2 linked regions of the Callithrix jacchus genome follow. The protein of the gene in region 1 purifies or fractionates together with the protein of each later gene. This does not show direct contact. Links are inferred from orthologs where the notes say so. Each region holds a gene or a part of one and is shown on either strand. Other genes may lie near its edges.

Evidence for each region.
Region 2: the proteins of PTCD3 (region 1) and YBX1 purify together in Homo sapiens (co-immunoprecipitation; 4 studies listed by BioGRID and IntAct, with this or other methods). This does not show direct contact. The link is inferred for Callithrix jacchus from reciprocal best matches to the Homo sapiens genes PTCD3 and YBX1.

What each region holds. Positions count from the first base shown.
Region 1 is NC_133515.1:26,866,494-26,870,305, reverse strand, and holds part of PTCD3 (small ribosomal subunit protein mS39), read left to right. Parts: intron 1-467; coding exon 468-553; intron 554-1,020; coding exon 1,021-1,169; intron 1,170-1,677; exon of another isoform or gene 1,678-1,798; intron 1,799-2,001; exon of another isoform or gene 2,002-2,138; intron 2,139-2,631; coding exon 2,632-2,673; intron 2,674-3,102; coding exon 3,103-3,261; intron 3,262-3,581; coding exon 3,582-3,678; 3' UTR 3,679-3,812. UniProt on the Homo sapiens protein: Mitochondrial RNA-binding protein that has a role in mitochondrial translation.
Region 2 is NC_133508.1:79,327,198-79,331,689, reverse strand, and holds the start of YBX1 (Y-box-binding protein 1), read right to left. Parts: upstream 3,020-4,492; 5' UTR 2,881-3,019; coding exon 2,715-2,880; intron 2,039-2,714; coding exon 1,975-2,038; intron 1-1,974. UniProt on the Homo sapiens protein: DNA- and RNA-binding protein involved in various processes, such as translational repression, RNA stabilization, mRNA splicing, DNA repair and transcription regulation.

The sequences.
Region 1 (3,812 bases):
TGGAACAAGGCCTAGGCATTGGCTTTTACGTTTATTCTACTGTGAATCCTGCTGGGTTTCTGGAATCCTGGGAAAGCCTAGAATAAAAGCAGCTTGGCCAGGTGCAGTGGCTCACACCAGTATTCCCAACATTTTGGGAGACCAAGGCAGGTAGATCATGAGGTCAGGAGTTCAAGACCAGTTTGGCCAACATAGTGAAACCCCGTTTTCTACTAAAAATACAAAAAGTTAGCTGAGTGTGGTGGTGTGTGCCAATAATCCCAGTCACTCAGGAGGCTGAGGCAGGAGAATCACGTGAACCTGGAAGGCAGAGGTTGCAGTGAGCTGAGATTGTGCCATTGTACTCCAGCCCAAAGGACAGTGCAAGACTCCGTCACAAAAAAAAAAAAAAAAAAAAGTTAACAGTAAACAAGAGAGTGTTGGTTTTACATAACAATGATTAATCCTTGTTTCTTTCTTGTTTCAAGATAGTAAAGAATATGGTCACACTTTCCGCAATGACCTGAGAGAAGAGATCCTGATACTCATGGCAAGAGATAAGCACCCACCAGAGGTAGGCCTGAAACTCACCAGCCGGTATATCCTCCCATAATGAGATCTTTTAAAGACTAGCTTCCCTGGTTTCATCTGCCATTTTGGAGAGTTTGCCACCCAAACCCATATTTGAGTGATGATACATCTAAACAAGTCTTGCCCTTTGCAGAATACTGTTCTTAAAGTTAACCTCTTTACTATAGTCCAAAGCAAGCAACGTGAAATTAAGTTTTGTCTTCAGCTTGCTTTTTAAAAATATTCCATCTACAGAGGAAATGCATAGCTGAATTTGAAAGGTGTGGCTAATCAAAATATTTATTCAGGACAACAGGGTCCTTTTTTATTAAATTACTTGTGTGCTATACACATAACATATTCAAATGGTAAAATGCATTGCTCAAATTTTAAGGGTTCTGTGGTAGTCTCCTGAACTGAAATCCTCATAAAATCAATTAGGCAGTTCTCCTGACTCCTAAAGCTTCTTAGCTTCAGGTAGCTTTTGCTGACTGTGCCGCTGATATCAAATCTACATATGAAAGCCAACCTGTCAGACAGACTGCTCTGGATTGGCCAGCCGTCTCTCTCAACTGTATAGCTGTCCTCTTTTTAAGGGCTGGGAGAACCCAGGAAGCCTGGTGAGTACAGTACCACAGGTATACACTTTGAAGCATTTGTATTTGGCTCTAAACATTGACCCACGCTGGTAGAGGTTCTCTCATTTGGCCGTATAACATGTATTTGATGGGAACATGCAAATACCAACCAAAAAGTAAACTTTTGCTTGCAATGTGCATGATGTATTTGAGAGAAGGCCTGGTTTTCTCAAACCATAGGCTGAGAATTATCTTTCCCTTTCTGCTTTCTGTGTCTATGGACAGGTAAGTCCCTTAATCTCATCACTCCACTTAAATGGACCAAAGATCAAAGAAACGTAGTTTTGAAAGTGTTCTGGTCATTTGGGTTGTGGAAGTATTTTCAGATGCTTCTGCCATCCCACTCTCCAACTTAAAATGTGGGCTGCGTACTTAGACTTCTGGAAGCCGGCATTATGCACATTAACTAGGCCTTGACCACAACCCATTCTTGGTTGGTGCCACTGTTCTGGTTATGTTTTATCAGCACTTCATTCAGCCTTAATATGGCCAGGCTGTGATGATTGGCGCAGGGGTATGGACCTCAGCTGATTCATGGGAACTGAGTGTATGTGTTTCTCCTTTGTCCTGCATGTGGCAGGCTGATGGGGAGTCATGAGTGGGGGTGCTTGTGCATGGCTCCTTGTATAAGAAAGTAACTTTATTTGAACATCTGATTGTCAGCTATCTCCAGGAAAAGATAATGAAGGCTTGTCTTTGAGGTATGGCTCATACACATGCCTCTCTAGCAACTATGCTGCTAGTGACAGACATTTGACGTTTGCATTTGGTTGTTAGCTCAGGCAGTTTCTCACACAAACTGCCTTAATATGGCCAGGCTGTGATGATTGGCGCAGGGGTACGGACCTCAGCTGATTCATGGGAGCTGAGTGTATGTGTTTCTCCTTTGTCCTGCATGTGGCAGGCTGATGGGGAGCACTTACATGAGACTGTTGCCTCAATCTGAGCCTGCTCTTCATAACAGAATTCTAAGACAGACAACCTGTGCAGCATTTTAAGAGAGGGAAACAGTGTGGTTCTGTTCCATGCCTCTTTTCCAGCTGTGCACAGGATGAATTATTCTACAAGAAGACAAATACAGTTTGAGTATCCCTTTTCCAAAATGCTTGAGACCAGAAATGTATGGGATTTTTAGATTTTGGAGCATTTTTGGATTAGGTATATTCAATCTATATCAGCAAATCTCAACATTGGCAGTGTATATCAGGTTTATCTGCGAAAATTGCAGTGTCGATATATGTCGTTTGGGGAGTTGAAGCACCTGAGGTGATTCTCATGTACAGACAGGGTTGGGAGCTAGTAGAGCCCACAGATGTGCGTCTTCGGGAGCTTACAGTACAGTTAAGAAAAAGACATTTAGTCTCTAAGTTCAGAGGGAAGACAGCTATAGTCATCTGATTGCCTTTTCTAACAGTATTCATAATCTTTCTCCTATCTTGAGCAGGAAAGTGTTGGGGCTTTTCAGGAAGCACAATAAGATCCCTAGGTAAGTTGAAATTAACTTTTCCTCCTTGGGTACAGCCTGGAAGTAGTCACACTTGGAATTTCTTCACCAGCCTTAGCCACCACATTTGGGCACTCTTTTATCAGGCAAGCATGCCATCAACTCCCCACCATCCTAGGCATCCTGAGGCCAGCAGTTTCTGTATCTGTGCTCTTGGATCACAGTACGCTGGGGCTAGATTGAATAGATCATCATGAAGTCATATTGAATGAATGTTGATAATCCCTGTCCCTTTAGAGTTAGACTTAACCCCACTGGAAACAAATAAAAATAAATGTTAGACTTTATGTAATCGTCACTATGGAGGTACTTACTATTGGGAATTCTGTTACTGAACTTACATTGGATCTTACCTATAAGTGTTTTACCGAAGGGGTTGGAGAAAGTTCACACTTTGCCTTTCTTTTACAGTAATGAGTTGCTGAATGAGTTTATGGACAGTGCCAAAGTGTCTAACAGCCCTTCCCAGGCCATTGAGGTGGTAGAGCTGGCAAGTGCCTTCAGCTTACCTATTTGTGAGGGCCTCACCCAGAGAGTAATGACTGACTTTGCCATCAACCAGGAACAAAAGTAAGTGGGTCCTGTATCTTCACCATGAAGGAAAGTTTGTAAAATGGAGCAGACCTTTTATCCATCTGCCCATTCAAAATGTTCATAGCTTACTATCCCGTATTTCCTTGCAAAAAGCCAGTGTATTAATTTAATGATTTCATTTGTTATGCAAGTCAGGAAAGCCTATAGATTTGACTGTTAGAAACCTTTTTGTTCCTAATACAGGGTCCCTTTTTCTGATTTCAAAACTGATAGGCTACAGGTGAGTATCAGAGACACCAGAAACCCCAGCACCCAACTGAATTACAGTGTGATTCTCTGGTTTCTTTTCTTAACAGGGGAGCCCTAGGCAAGCTAACTGCATTCACCAGTAACAATGATACTGACAGCAGCAGTGACAGTGACAGCGACAGTGGCACCAGTGAAGGCAAATGAAAGTGGAGATTTAGGAGCAACAATGGCCTCACTGTAGCTACTGGAATTGCACCTGAGAACTGAGATATGTTAATATTTAACATTATTACAAAGAAGACAAGATAGAGATTTGGTGAATTTGTTCCTGTGAGGTA
Region 2 (4,492 bases), on another chromosome or scaffold:
TTTGTTCTACTACATGAACCACATATAGAACCAACTGCTGGCTTCCAAACTGATTTAACACATACTTTCCTTAATTAAAGCAAACCTTCCCTGTATTTAATTGGAGTCAGATTTTACAGCATCTTATCAAAAAGTGTCAGTCATTAAAACAACCAGTTCAGAAGCATAAAGAACATTTTAACCAGTCAATTTGACAAAATAATTGAGGTTAGGATAGTCCAAACAAAAGACCATCAAAAGCCAATTCACAATTTGCCCTGGAGGATGACCAATTGAGTTGATTCCAATTCAGAACAGAGATATTCAATGAATGACACCTCATGAAATACTTGTAAGAATTACTCTTATTTTGGATAAAACTTGATTTTTAAAAATGTGATAACCTATGCCACTCAACAAAATGTAGCGAAACATGGCACACGCTAAACTTCATACATACAAAACTGCAATCTACCCACTGAAAAGGCTGCAAATCTGCACACCAAAGTTACCATTACATTGGGTCAAGGGTTAAAAGCAGTGATTTTGAAGGTATGGCTCACATTATTCTTGCTAAAAAATGTACCCAGACCTAGGCAAGCACACTTAAATCTGAAAAACACTGGTTGAAGGGTTAGACTAGTTCGGAGACTCAGAATAAGACAGAAACACAAACTAAAACACTAGTAAGTTCAGAAAGATCAGTTAAAAAGCTATCAGTATATCAATCATATATAAGCATTCCCCTCCTTCCTTGCTAATAAGCTATTATCAAAAAATTAATGAAAAACATAGTTACAGCCACAACAGTGGCAACAGTATAGAAGGTTGGAAAATCCTAAGATTTTGGAAGAAACAAAACGTTTTCCCACAATTGCAAAAGTAGAGAATAGACCATCAAATGCTTCTCTCTTACTCTGTTTCCACGATAATGTATGATTGATTAATGAACGAACGGTTTTTCATCAAGCTATGATTGTCTGTCCTTAAGCTTGATTTCGTCCATTTGTTGTCCACTCCACAAACATTCTTAATTGTTCTTTTAATCATCTGCTTAGGTCTTCTACAGTAAGAGAATGCTGAGATGGCACTATGTACCATACCTATAAGGCCAAGATTCCTATTGGCATACCCAGGGCTCTACACTCATGTAAACTGCACTACTAAGCCTTGGCAGCCATCTTGAAAATGATGCCTGGCTCACAAGGGAGCCCATGGAATCCAGTGTACTGCACATTACCAGCAACAACCCGAAAGTAAGTCCTAAAGATGGAGCCTGCAGCTTTGCCTTCAAGCAAGAACAATGTCAAGTTACCAGGGACTATGGCCACTCTAAGCTATAGCCAGAAATCTAATAGAAATCGATTTAATCAGTATGATTTTAGGACAAGGAAGAATGAAAAATAAGAACTGAAGAAAGCAAAGAACCATTTTCTAGCAGATACATTATTCTATGAGCAAATAAAAACAGCTTCTCTCTGGTGCTAATATAAAATTTATCTAAGGTATTACAATGAAGGTGAAAAAGGCAACACCTCTCGGTAAAGATGACAAAACCTCATATACTTGGCACGTCAAATCTTACCCCCAAAATGTTAACAAGGTGTAAATATCCGATGTCAGTGGATCACTCTCTCAAACACCGAGTTCAATCAAGTAGAAAAGGATAACAAGGATAAAAATGTACAGGACCGTAGTTTCCCGTTTACCCTGTTAAGGCATGGCTCATTCACTTTGCTTGCCTTTTAAATTGCTTTGTACTGTAAGAAAGCCTTTGAAGTTGGCTTCAAATTAACATTTAGCTGCAAAACAAAGACCTTCTCTAGATCCACTAATCCCTCCAGTCGTCAAGGAATTAAAAAAAAAAAAAAAAAAAATCACACTAATACACCAGAGGTAGTAAACGCCCTTCGGGGCTTCCCAAGCGCCAAGAAGCCGACAGAGCAGGCAACAAGCGAGACAGTGGGATGGAAGCTTCAGGGTCCGGGAGCTCACCTGTTGATGAAACCATATCCGTTCCTTACATTGAACCATTTTACTGTTCCCAAAACCTTCGTTGCTGGAAAAGAAAACAAAGCAAAACAAGCCACGATTACCACCTATCCTTTTCCAAACCCGCCCGGCTTCGGTCTCCGGTCCCTAGGACGCTGCCCGCTAGGCCACCTGACAGCCCTTTCTCTCCACCTCCCGGGTGCCGGGCCACGCCACCACCGCCGCCGCCGCACACGTGGGTGAGTCTGAAGCCGCGGGGCGCTCCAGGGCAGGCCCGGGGCGCGGGCCCAGAATGGGTGTGTGCGCAGGCCGCGGGCGGAGAGCACGTGAGGGAAGGGGAAGCCGCCCCGGCCCACTCCGGCCTGCGTAGGCGGTGCGCCGCGCCCTCTGAGCACACGCGGAAGGGAGCTGGGTGGGGGAGACGCGAACAACGGCGTGCGGGCCACAGCGCACGAGGCCGGTCGCGGGGAGGGGACCCCGTCGCACACGCGGTTGGCGGGCGCGCGACCGCAGGGGGAGGGGCGCGCGTCCGCGCGGGGTCCACAGGGGGCGCAGGAGGCAGAGCGCGCGCGCCTGCCGGGCGGGCCCCCGTGAGGATGAGTGGGGGTGCTGGGGGAGGGGCGGCCGCGCGCCGCGGAGTCGGTCCCCGCCGGCCGCGCGCCCGCCGGCTCGCCCTGCACAGGCTAACGGTTCCGCTGCCAGGCTGCCCGAGGGCCCCACACCCGTCCCCGTCCGGCCCTCACCGATGACCTTCTTGTCCCCGCCGGCAGGCGCCGCCGATGTGAGGCCGCCCGGGCCACCGCTCCCTGCGCCGCTGCCCGTAGTGCCGGGCTTGGTGTCGGCGGCGCTGAGGGCGGGGGCGGCGGGGGGGGCGGCGGGCGGCTGCTGGGTCTCGGCCTCGCTGCTCATGGTTGCGGTGATGGTGACTGGGGCCGGCTACGGCAGCTACGGCTCCTCCCGGGATGTGATGGTAACTAGGCCGGCGGCGGCGGTGGGGCTGCTCAGGGCTCTCTGGGGTCCGCTCTCCGCTCCCGCTACCGATCGAACTAGCGAGAATGGCGGGACAGGCGGGATAAGCCCTACGATCGACCCGCCCTAGGCGTTGTTCACTGGCCACTGCTGCTGTCAATCTGCCCACCTGACCCCAATTCCTGGCTTCTACTGGATAATATTTTATCAGTTCTCCACTCTCATTGGCCCTTTGGCGGCTAATTCAGCCGACCTACAACCGTTCCTGCCTCCGCCGGCCGCCATAGAGACCGGAACTAGAATTAGAGTAGTCGGCCACAAAAACCATAGAGTACCCGAGAGGACGGGCAGAGAGAACGTGATTTCCACGAGGCAGCCGCCGGGCTGGCTAGCCCCACGTTCAGGGTTGTGTCCCAGCTGAAGAAAAGGCACGCCCGAATGCTGGGCAGGAATTACCCGGCCGGACCCGAGATTGGAGGGGGGCCCGACTACGCATTAGCCCTTCGTAAAGAGAAGGCTTCCCTCCCTCTCTGCTCCAAATACAGTCCTTGTGATCTGAGAACATGACTGCAGGCATAAAGTCATCTTTTCTTTAATGGCCGTGTTGTGGCGGCACAGCCTATGGTTTCTGGAATTGCCTTAAACGTATGCGTTTGAGGAGCTTACGCTTTTGTCGGAGCAGTCACCTTGGAGGGACCACGCAGGCTCAGACAGCCTGGGCTCAGCACGTTTAGCATGTTTAAGGCGAGGGTGTGCTCCATGGGGACCTGCCTTCTGATCCGTTTTACCAGGCATACACATGTATTAAAAAGAAGTGTCTTCGAGTGTTCATGTCTTTTTCTACTGGCCACAAATCAGATTTAATTCAACTCACATTTATTGAACAAGCTAGCCTGTTTGGTTTTTCCATTTTATTCCGACAACAGCCATGTGATAGAAGGATTACTATCCACGTTTCACAAACGATAAAATTGAGGCTGCCACCTGATGTTACTGAAGTCCTCCACCCACCGTCTTTCGTTCTTTTTTAAGCGTCTACTATCGGCTGGGGATGGAATAGTTCTCGAGTCAGTTTCTGCCTTCTGATGGCGGCAGGAATTTAAACAGCTAGCACTGGAAATACTCGAGAGCTGCAAAAGCACGAAATATTGGGCCGGGCGTGGGTTCACGCCTGTAATCCAAGCACTTTGGAGGCCAAGGCGGGCGGATCACCTGAGGTCGGGAGTTCAAAACTAGCCTGACCAACATGGTGAAACCCCGTCTTTAAAAAAATAAAATTAAATTAAAAGCACGAAGTATTTTGGGAGTGGAAGCAGGGAGAAGGTGGAGGGCTGACTTTCCGCTCACAGGGTACAGGCGAGAAGAGGTGGGATCTCGGGAAATGCAAGTCAAGTAGTTCAATAAGACTCCAGTGTGGCATTGGGTTGCAGAGGTGGGCAGGGTCACAGGTATATTTAATTGGAAATATATCCTAAGGGCAAGAGTGAGAAGAGCAATTTTAGAGTCATAAGTAGGGAGGGGCATCTTTTTAAAAATGACTGCTGAGTGGAGA